Linked DNA regions of Lepisosteus oculatus. The protein of the gene in region 2 interacts with the protein of the main gene of each other region in a biochemical or structural test. Links are inferred from orthologs where the notes say so. Each region holds a gene or a part of one and is shown on either strand. Other genes may lie near its edges.

Region 1 (3,747 bases), on a different chromosome or scaffold from region 2:
TGCGCGCGTTGCACAGACCAATTTGACACTTTTCAAACATCGTCAATCTGTCGACCCCGTTTAAAGGGATCTGGAAAACCGGCCGCGCCCGGGCCCCGAAGGGCTGGAGCAGCGCTCCCCTACCGGATGCGTAGCACGATTCCCTGCAACGAGACGGCTCAAGGGCACGCCCTTCCATCCAGTCCACTTCGCGGTTCTGCAGCCGCCAGGCCCTGCATTCTCTCTTAGTTAGCAGCGTCAACACAGAAAGGACCAGAGTGGCACACATCCCATGACTGCAGCAGTGCAGGTCGGGAGGACCAGAGGCTGAGAAGCCACGTTCCAACAGAGGCATGGGAAGACCCCAGACTTATAAATCACGACCAGAACTGCCGGAAAAATATCGACATCACCAGAAAGGGGAACGCCTGGCCCTCCAGTCAAACAGAGGCCTGCTTTTAAAGGCGAATAGGCCGATTTGTTTTTATTGCTCAGGTCCGCGTCAGCAGTGGCGGCGACGGGCAGAGGACTCACCCTGCCACAGTCAGGCACTGCAGCTCTGCTGCAATCCGGACCGGGTGGCTGGTCGGGATCAGGTGCTTCAAAGCAAACTTCTCTTTCGCGCCAGACGTCAACCGTGCCTCCGCCAGGTACACCGAGCTGAACGTACCTGTTAATCCCAAACACAAACACTTCTATGACACATCCGGCGTGCACAGACCCCACACACTGGCTCTGGCTGCCAAACCACAAGACTGCAGCTGCTCAGCTACAGCGCTCCAGCTTCTTAAGCTAAAGAATAAGTTCATTATATTAGAAAATGCTTAATGCAGTTCAGACCTTCACCAATTTTATCCAATATGACGAAGATTTTGGAGAGCTGGGGTATGGCTTCATACAAGCTTTCAATATCCGTTTTGATTTCTCCTGTAAAGAAAATAAACAAAAAACAACTTAAACCAAACAATATTTTGTCCAAACCAAATATATATATATAAAGGCAACTATAAGGTTTCAGAGTTACAAAACAAAGAGGTTACTTCAGAATTGAATGCACGTGTGGTTTCCCGTGTGCCAGTAAGCCACCCAGACCTCAGAAATCAATACATCAGAATAATCACAGCTTTGGAGGGAATGGGAGTCAGAAGACGACACCCCATGCCTGCACAGCCAGTACAGAGAGGAGCGCCCCACAACCACAACAGCTCAGCGCTGACTCGAGACTCACCTTGGCCACACGGGACGCTTTCTGGGTATCCACACCGTCAGTACACTGCTCAAATCCTTACAGCACCTGCACCACGCTTCCAGCATGCTGCGTCTGTCATATCATTGTACTGTACGCCCCCCTGCCCTCTGGTAGGGATTACAGGACCATAAAGGCACGAACCTCAAGATTCAGAGGCGGTTTCGTCCTGCAGGCTGTCAGATGACTGAACTCTACCGCTACCACTGGCTCACACTCATGTTTATTTCCTCTTCTCACGCTGCTTGTCTGACTTGTATTTAAGTTGTACCTTATTTAACTTTGTTGCTGCTGCTGCTGCTGTTCTGTGTTTAAGTCTCCCTATCAGAGCACACATGCAAATCAGCATTTCATTGCACTTGTTCAGCACATGACAAATAAACGGTGCTGAACATCACTACCCCATCCTGCTCTGCTGCACGTACAGTACCCATCCGTTACTTGTACAATGGAAGTGTCATACGTATTGCAACCTCGGTCCTGAGGACCTGGAGACAAATCCTTCAATGAAGCAACAGGTTGCCTGGCTGGAAAAACTTCAAGTTTATTTTTGGGGTCTATTCGAAGGCAGCAGCTCTCTCCCACTTACGCGAGATGTAGTTTCCAACGCGCCCCTCCGGCTTCATCTGTAAAGGAGCCGACTCCATCTCCAATAGACAGAAACCTGACGAACAACAGAAAGTCACTTTTTTTTTTTGGGGGGGGGGGGCAGGTTCAAATACGTACCCAATAACGCGCATAGACACACACACACACGTCAAGACCGATGAGGTTTTCTCCTTTTTACGCACTGTTCTCTTTGTCTCTGTCAAACGATCACGTCTGAGCATCGCAGAAGAGAACAAACCCGAGGTGTTTTCGGGCCGTCCGCTTGCAAGGACGATAAACCCCCCAGACAGCTTGCAGCGTGCGACCCCCGGGAGCCCGCAGACCATCGGGGGGGGAGGGCACGTGTGCCACTTGTTTAACATCACGGCTTGTGGCACAACGCTCAGCGGGAACTTTTATTGTCCAAGTGCCATCCCGGGGGGAACAGCAGGAACAGCGCCCGGATAGCCGGGGCGCACACGCAACTCGCAGGAAAGCCGATTCACGCCACCGCCGCCACGTCGCCTCACCCCGCAAACTTCAGGACGAGCTACAACATGAAGTTAGGAGGGGGGAGCGCACGACTCATCTCCGATCAGCCCCGGCAGGACTGCCCTGTAAACAAACCCCGGGAGGCGACCCGCAGAAACAGCAACGCGAATATAACCGCGCGTCTGTCAGGGTCGTGTTGACTAAAGAACCCCAGCACAAAAACTTCCGACAGCACATCCGCCGCTAACCCCGCTCATCTAGAGGCTCAAAGGCGTCCCCGTTACCTCAGTACGGGAGCGGAGAGCCCAGGCGCTGCTGCCGGCCGGCCGCGTCTCTCTTCCTCCTCCCGCAGACGAGCGACCCGCGCAAACGTGACGTCAGGGGGGAGGGCGGGGCCGCGCAGCGCGAGAGCGAGAGCTTCCGGCTCGCTCCAGGGCCGTGCGTCGGCACGCGATGCAACCGCACTACCCCTCGTCCCCCGCAGAGCAGCGGCCTCACGCCGAACCATTGCTCTTGTGCACGGACAGCTCTTTGCAATGCAAATGAAAGACACACAAGGCTGCTGTTGTTGATGAGATATATATATATATTCTACCAAAACTTCTGTAAATTTGTCATGCCCGTAGACACTGAATCGAACTGCATGATCGACCCTTTCTCTTGCCCGTCTGTTTGCTGCACGAAGCCCACCATCCAGTTCCTCCAGTCTGATGTGATGCCGTTGTTGTTTGTTGCATCCCAAGTGTCTAGCGACTGGATTCTAGCTAGCGCTTTCCCAGGTGAGTATGTGAGGCTGGATAAGTGGGCGACGGGATAATCCTTAATTATCACATGATCTGCAGCAGCTGTGATAATAAAGCACTAGTTCAGTAATAGAGGTCATAGGCTTGTAATGGACTGGAAAGGCTGGCCTTTCCTGATGCCATGTGTTCGAGAGACCTGTAGCTCCTGAAGGCAGGGTTTTGGGCACTGATATACATGACAGGGTGTCCAGTCCTGGTCCTGGAGGGACAGTGTGTCCGCTGGTCTTCTAGGTCTCTTCAATGCTGCAGCATTCCAGACCTGGGGACAGTTGTTAAATGGGACCAGTTCACCCAGTCACCAGCAGGTGCAGCTCATTAAGAGCTGAGCTGGAGTGAAGACCCACAGACACACCAGCCCGCTGGGACCAAGACAGGACTCTGCTGCTCTATAAGGACAAACCTGATGTGAAAAGGAACTTGCGTCTGCACTTTCCTGCACATTAAAAACATACATGACTCTGTTTATTAACAACATGCATTTTTTTGCATATGGTTGGCTCAGCACAAATACTGTCCTTAATGTGTAATTTAAAAAGGGTAAATATCTCACTTAAAAGCACTGTTATAAACTTGCTAGTTATGAAACTAAGGGAATGATGACTTTCGTTCATTGTAAGGTGTGACTAAGCTGTGCATGAC
Region 2 (3,747 bases):
TAAACACATTTCTGATGACCAAAGCAGAGCACGTAAAGGTCACAGGAGACAACTCCACTCAGGCAACGCTCCAGTGCAAGTAGGGGGAACCCCAACCTAAGCAGATGGGACACAGGGCTGCCAGTGCAGGTAGGGGGAGCCCCAGACTAAGCAGACAGGACACAGTTCACGCGCTCCAACAGCTAATCCTGATTAGCTGTACAGCATGCCGTGGACGGCCACATCCATCCCCACGCCCCGAGCCCTCACCAGCTGAACGCCGTACTTGAAGACCTTCTTCCCAGCGTCATCCTCAGTGTAGAACTCCTGCAGGAACTTCCTGCACTTCTCTGGAGGAAGACAAGACACAACCTTTAAAATGCATTTAAATGCAATCATGACACTTGTCTGGCAGGACTGAAAACAGAAAGCAGCAGGCGTGGCCTCAGGCCTTGCACGACAGCATCACAACTCAAATTCGAAGTTCACAGTACTTTCTGAAAACCCTGTCTCACCAGAGGCAGGACTTCAGGGCTGGAAAACTAACTGTGGGTTAGAGGCAGGGGCAGATCTGAACTCTTGGGGGCAATTTTGGAAGAGTGTTACCCTGTGTCCCAGCCAAAAGGGATTTTCCAGCACTGCTGCAGAGGTTAAAGAAGCAGACAGAGAGAGTGGGGTCAGTGCGAAGGAGAGACACTGAAGCCACACCACACAGCTGGGGCACACGAACATGTTCTGGCATCACTATACACCCGTGCGGCACAGCTCTGAACGCCTCTATTGGATCAACAGGTCCTCCACAGGGACGCAGAGGACCAGGCCTTGTGAACAGGCCCAGCTCCCCCCGCCGCCAGCGGCCTCTCCTCCAGCAGGGCCCCGGACAGCTTTCTAAGCCTTTAATCTTGAAGACCACTAATCTGGTGTCAGGCGACGGGACCAGCCCACAGCAGGCCAGGCTTCTCCACCCCACACTGCAGACACTCGCTGGCTCCACGCACAGGAGCCCCCCAGAACTGTCCGATCGGGCTGGCAGAGCTCACGTGCCATCGCTTTCTGACATTCCAACCCTGCTGGCTCCAGAGAGGGTCCAGCATTCACAGCTCGAGGACGCCCATGCTAACCACATAGGCCTCCCTAAATCATGACACCATGCTGGGCAGTTGGACAGCCTAGACAGGCAAACTCATCACAGCAGTGCTGCCGAAAGCACAGCTCTCAACTCACAAAACACAACCGCTATCGCACACGACACAGAGTAGCGGCGGCGGCGAAACGCATGCTGACAACGCAACATCGGAAAACCGCGCAGAGGAGCCACAGGGTACACGCGTGGAAGCGGCTCGTGCTGGCGCAGTCGGCCTTGAGTGACAGCCAATCCGCGCACCGCTCCAGCTGTAAACAAAACCAAGAGCACGTGACCTCCCCTCCCCCTCCCCCGTGACACTCCACTCTACAGCGCTACCGCTGCTCCCAGCTCCCACTGAACCGAAATCACGGACCTTCAGTTCACAAACTCAAGAGACTGCTCCTCTGCGCGCCCCGGAAAATGATCCCCTACATGCAGTGGAGTCACACATCTTTTTAATATCACAGACCTGGATTTAAGTTTTCTGCGTGGACAAATTACAATGTCCACTAAAATACAACGCGTTCGCGGCACAAGTGTTTCTGAAAATAAGATCTACATAGGCAGGTTTCCATATGAACAAGTCCACAGAAAAGTTACAAGACTGCCTGTTAACTACTCTAGAGTAGTACAAACTTGAACGGCGCCGTGCATTGAGCAGGCAACATAAACACTAGTTTAAACAGTATTTATTCATAATTAAAATGTCAACAACACAGCCCGCCTGTCAAAAAATGTCGAGTCTCAGATTATCCCCCGGACGAAATAATTCAGCGAAGCCTCGGATACACACCCTCACAATCTTAAAGCTCCACTGCGCGTCTCCAGAAGACCCCCACCATCACTACCAATGGAAATTTACCACGAGAAGCCACCCACGCGCAGCTTTCACCCGTTCATTTCACTTTCGGTTTTAAAACAGCCCAACTAGACTCACAAAGACAATCCCGCAACGGCAGCTTTCAACAGAGCTCGCCCGCGGAACAAAAAAAAACACCCACACGCAGGGACAGCGAGGACCTCCCCACCCGTGTCCGCGCTGATCTCTTTGTTGGAGAGGGAGTCGATGTCCACTAGTAAACAGTGCCGCACATGGCGCCCACGAACTCCAATCCACGGCCGTTCTTCCGTCTTTAAAACTGAGCCTGAACTCGGATCGGGGAGGGAAGAGAGCCCACCAACACCGGGACAAACACACACGCGGACCTCAGACATTGCAGCTTCATCAGGAGCGCGGTCGCCGAACTCGCAAACCACCCCACGGCCGCCGCACGGAGCTCGGCTGCCCGGCACCTCCCTCGCCGCGCTTCCTCCGCCCGCCCAGCCGGCCGGCCGGCCGGGGACAAGGGCGGCCCCGTGGCACCGAGCTCTCGCCGCGACTCGGGGCTCCTTCCCGGCGCTGCTCCCCACGCCGCGCCGCCGTCTCCTCACTCCTGCTTTTGTAAACAAAGAAGCACATGGCTGCTCGGCCTCGCCACCCCCTGCGGGGCTTCCGCGATCCCTCCGCGCGTCAAATAGTGCCCGCTCCCCGTTTCATCCAAGAAAACATCACACCAACCACGACCACCACCCCCGCGTCTCAGGCCTCCCTCGCCTCACCCCGACCCTTCGCGCCACGTAATCCGGGAAAGAAAAATCAAGTTCGCAGGAGAATCACACCCTTACGCGCACGCACACTGCACTACAAACCCCTGCTCCACTCCGGGCGGATGTGGCCGCTCTGCGTGCTGAGCCTTTCACGACAGCGAGCGCGTCATCACCCGCCAAAGAGCCCGACGCGTGACGTCAGAGGCGCAGCTGCTCTCGAGCGTCGCGCGCGCGCGCGCACGCCAGACTCCTGGAGGTGGGGTCGCGTAGCAGGGGTCGCGCGCGCCTGGCGCGGTTCTCCACCAGGAAACAAAAGCAGCGGCCGAGACGCGACCCCGCCGCTGCAGAGAGGCAGCTGGAGCACGACACACCTGCCCACTCCACCCGTCTCCAGAATCTCTCCGCTTCCTAATCGAAAGTCTCGTTCAGGTTGCGTAAGAAACTCGGTTGTTGAAAGGCGGTCTCCAAGACGATAAAGCACAAATCCAAGAGCTCCAATTAACCCTAACTCTAAATTAAATAACTGAGACCCATAACGAATAGACTCAACAAAAGTTTAATTTGATTTCTTTCTGGTTCATTCCTAAACGTAGTAAGTTTCCTAAATGCAGTAAGGCGCCATCCAGCCATTAACAAAGTTAATGCGGTTAAAATCTCCAGCCTCCGAGAAGGAGCCCAGTGTGGGCCGGGGGTCGGGGAAGGAGCTCAGCTGCAGGTTTGGGGGACCCCAGGACCAGGGAGCCCCCAGAGTACAGTCCAGCACATGCGCTGGTGTTAGACTCAGACATTAGACCTGCCTCCAGCACCAGGAATGCTCGCTCTCAAGGCAGGGACATTACAAAGCTCCGAGCTGAAAACTTGGTCTAATCACCTGAAACAACTGGAAGAGGGGTCACAGAGTACCTGTGCTGGGGTCTCCCAGTCTACCCAGCTGCAGCTGCCAGTGAAGCGGAGAGCCGTAGTGAGGAGGCAGCCTTCAGCCTGGGCAGGGCCTGGAGAAGCCTGCCTCCACCCCGTCACCTGTCCCGAACCCCAGCAAGGCGCAGGGCGGCACC
Region 3 (3,747 bases), on a different chromosome or scaffold from region 2:
TATGTACCATGTAAAATATATAAAATGAAAATTATTTCAACATTTTCAGCAGCAAATGTTCTGAAATGTAGAAACACTCTCCCAGAACATATCAACATTCTATATAAAATCCTGCTTACAGTAGATGGAGACACTTGACAGAATATTTACCTGTTCCTTGACAACTTTTTCCACCAGTGATTTCCCTCTGCTTTTTATTGCCTGCACACAAAAAGGGCATTGTAACTATACAATCACAGAAATGCTAAGAGGAATGAAAAAAAATGTTAGGAAAAGTTCATAACAAACTCACGTCTGCAGCATCCTGCGAGCTTACTTTACAGCTTCCTCTTCGGCTGCTGAGGCAAGGCGAGCTGTTCCCAGTGGTATTGGGAGAGCCAGGGCTTGATAAAGGAGAATTTCTTCCAACTGATTTCACAAATTTTGCCTCTTTCTTATTGGAAACAAGATATCGAATGTCCTTGCTGAAGAACCTCTCAATGGTCTAAAATGAAATAAATCTGTTATACATGTAATGTAGACTTAATAAGAGCAGCATTACCACTTTAAAGCCCAATTTCATGTCTGCTTCCTTACTCAGTTTGTTATAACTGCTAGAGGGAATCAAGTCTTTCTAAGCAACCAGGATAGAGGAAAACTGAAGTGAGAGAACCATTAGGGAATTATGATAATGTGGCAAGAAATCCATTCAGACACATATCAGGTTCAAAGAAATGCCAGGCAAAAATAAATAGTTTTAGCCTCGAAAACAGAAATCTCACTCTTCATTCAAAACCCTCACAGATAACATAGATCCTACGGCCACTGGCAGAATCAACAGTGCGAATAGGAAAATACAAGTGGTAAGTAAGGGGAAGTACATTTAAAACCAGACTGTCACAACATTTTTATATATAAAGTGTTGTGACAGTCTGGAAAAATCTATCTTGTCAGACTTGGTTACTAAACCAAAACCTTTGCATCTTTCAAAAAACAACAAACAGCCTCCACATATGCAAACATGCTTGTGCCGTTATCATTTCTAATTAACTTCTTCAGTTTTCAAGACAAATACTTCCAAAGTTATAATAACTGTGGTCCTAAAGGTTTAGGTTTGTTCAGTCACAAAAGTAATAACTTTGAAAGTGGTAGAACAATAACAGCTTAGATCCATTGTTAAATCTGAATAATGCTTAATATTCCATATTTATACACACGTGGATACACAAAATACAAACAGTAAAATGCAAAAATATTCATATTTGTACTTAAAAATATCTTACCCCACCAAGCTTTTGAATGTCTTTCTCCAAGGCCTCAGTGGTCTTACTGAATGGCAGATCTAGATAAAATAGTTTTCCAGCCAGAGGTTTGGTTTTCAGTCCTGAAGACCCATTTGCTGTTTGCAGCACACTTTTTAATGTCACCTTGTTCTGCTCTGTTTTGTCAATCGATTTTGAGTCTGTTAAAGAATGGACACGATATCAGGGGTTTTTCAGGTTGCTCTTGCTCAAACAAAAACATAGGAGAGCAATTTTAAAGATTACACCCACATTTCCCAATAGTAGCAGAATAACAGCATGTCAGAGGGTAAGAAAAGTAGGTGAATGAAATGTAATGACCTGTTTAATACGCTTGCAAAGTTTCAAACATGCCAGATTGGGAAACGTTAGAAAATATTTTCCCATACATAAGAATACTTTTCACATTTCTCCATTTGCACTTTGAATTTGTGGGGATCATATATTTCATCATGCTTTAACAGACTTATAATACATTTTGGAGAATGTGTTTTTCTAATTTAATCAAATCCAACCTAGGACAGTAACAGATTCAAGTTACCATGCAGCTACATCCTTTCGAAAGAATAGCTCTGGGTGAGCATTAGGCTTCAATTTGACTCTACACTAAAAACAAATACTTAAACTTGTTACTCTATGTGTCATGTCTACTTATGTATATTTCTTCATATATTTTCTACAATAACTTGGCCAAAGTATTGATGCAATATCAAACAGTGTGTTTTGGTTAAGGCAAACAAGTTAAACAGAATACTTTCTGGTGATCTGCACAAAAATCTCAATATTCAATGACATTTTTCTCCATGGTATGTTTAAGAAACTAAAATACCTTGCAACTTGACATTAACATCCTGGGAGGTAACCCTATTTTTCATTTTCAGTATATATTACATTTGGGGGAGTAGGGACACCTTCTATAATGGCTTCTGTTGAAAGAAACATAGAAAAGACATCTAATAATGCACGCATTGTTTCAACACGAGTCGTGAGGATTTTATAAAGCAAATTATGATCCAGAAGTAAAGCAACATAGCTCATCGAAAAACATGAAAAACACCCTGCAAAAACATGTTGTTTAAAAAATTAATCAAACTACTGTGTTAATGTGCTTTTAAAAACTACACATATTTTAGAACAGTAGATCAGTTTAAAATTGCACATTGCATAAAATGCGTAGTCGTTACGAACGTACAGAAACACGTCTGCTTTTTTTAAAAAAAACTACCGACATTTAACTTGGAAGTAGACTGCTACTGTATGAGAGCAAACAACCGTGATAAGCCTGCTGAGAACGAACCGCATACTAACTCTTAATAGCCACGAATTATATCGAAATCAGATTCATAATGATTAATCTTGCCCACCCGAACAAAATACTTACCGTTATGAATGCTAAAGAATGAAACAATTCAAATTTTCCTTAACACAACTTTCTTCTTTCCCGCTTCGACTAGTTAGTATCCCAGAAACCTCTCTTTCAAACTATCTTCATTTTGGATTCCAGAGTTTCCGTCTCACTTTTTAAAATGCAATTTATGTTTTCTGTTCATTGCGATTACATAAGAGAACTTCTGACAAGTTAAATATAAAATAATTGTATTATTTTTAATTTTGTAAGAATTGTGATACGTAAAAAGTGTTATTTTTGTCGTTCATTTCTTCAAGGTTCGAAAAGTAAGGCATAATTTAAATGTCCGTGTTGTTGAATGTGCTGTGGCCAATGTGAGAATAGACTCATCGGCATAGGTCATGTGATCCAAGCATGTGTGCTGTGAGAACAGCATATGTAACACATAGGTCAGAGCCTTGGAGAGAATCCTGATGAGACATGTTGTATTGAAACCCTAACAGTTAGTTTACCTAAGTGTCTTTAATCTAATTTAATTAATGGTTTCGTTGCCTTTATGCTAACGATGAATAATTCAGATGTGGTACAGTGTCGATCTCGACATTTAACTGATGTGAAGAAAACAGCCAGGAAAAGAGCACAGCTGTACAGTTTGACAGTATCAGTTTTATTTTCTTGCCTTTGAAGAGTTAGCAAGGTAGGTTGTACGTATTGCACTCAGAAACATCAAATTTTTCCAGGGTGTTTTTCAAATAGTTTAAAAAACTTAATGGAGTTGAACTCGTTTAAGGGGAAAAACAATGCTTGTTTTATTCAATTAACAACAGTGGATTTAGAGAATGTCAAATATGCACATTCAGAACAGAGTGACATTGAATTTCACGTCTGAAGGAAAAAGCAGTACAGGTGTATGCCAGCTCGCAGTTTGTTTGTCTTTTGAGGATTGCCGTTGTATTCCTGATTAAGGACAAGATGAGTGGCCAGGGAACAGTGTCTGTGCTCAATGACATCACACCTGTCCAGCAAATGATAGCTTCCTCCTCAGGAGCGCTGCTTACTTCACTGTTTGGTAAGAAACTCTTTCATTATGTGCTAAGAGAAAATGAGTAATAGACTTCC

Evidence for each region.
Region 1: of the proteins of mcm7 (region 2) and cdc7, one has a biochemical effect on the other in vitro, tested with the Homo sapiens proteins (2 studies listed by BioGRID). The link is inferred for Lepisosteus oculatus from reciprocal best matches to the Homo sapiens genes MCM7 and CDC7.
Region 3: of the proteins of mcm7 (region 2) and dbf4, one has a biochemical effect on the other in vitro, tested with the Homo sapiens proteins (2 studies listed by BioGRID). The link is inferred for Lepisosteus oculatus from reciprocal best matches to the Homo sapiens genes MCM7 and DBF4.

The regions. Positions count from the first base shown.
Region 1 is NC_090704.1:1,478,247-1,481,993, reverse strand, and holds the start of cdc7 (cell division cycle 7-related protein kinase), read right to left. Parts: upstream 2,753-3,747; 5' UTR 2,590-2,752; intron 1,890-2,589; 5' UTR 1,873-1,889; coding exon 1,815-1,872; intron 907-1,814; coding exon 820-906; intron 650-819; coding exon 514-649; intron 1-513. UniProt on the Homo sapiens protein: Kinase involved in initiation of DNA replication. Phosphorylates critical substrates that regulate the G1/S phase transition and initiation of DNA replication, such as MCM proteins and CLASPIN.
Region 2 is NC_090698.1:12,416,015-12,419,761, reverse strand, and holds the start of mcm7 (DNA replication licensing factor MCM7), read right to left. Parts: upstream 2,584-3,747; 5' UTR 2,321-2,583; coding exon 2,134-2,320; intron 330-2,133; coding exon 250-329; intron 1-249. UniProt on the Homo sapiens protein: Acts as a component of the MCM2-7 complex (MCM complex) which is the replicative helicase essential for 'once per cell cycle' DNA replication initiation and elongation in eukaryotic cells.
Region 3 is NC_090705.1:6,476,604-6,480,350, reverse strand, and holds the start of dbf4 (protein DBF4 homolog A), read right to left. Parts: upstream 2,770-3,747; 5' UTR 2,662-2,769; intron 2,207-2,661; 5' UTR 2,156-2,206; coding exon 2,110-2,155; intron 1,442-2,109; coding exon 1,263-1,441; intron 485-1,262; coding exon 293-484; intron 202-292; coding exon 151-201; intron 1-150. Other genes in the region: mitochondrial glutathione transporter SLC25A40, read left to right, coding at 3,601-3,697. UniProt on the Homo sapiens protein: Regulatory subunit for CDC7 which activates its kinase activity thereby playing a central role in DNA replication and cell proliferation. Required for progression of S phase.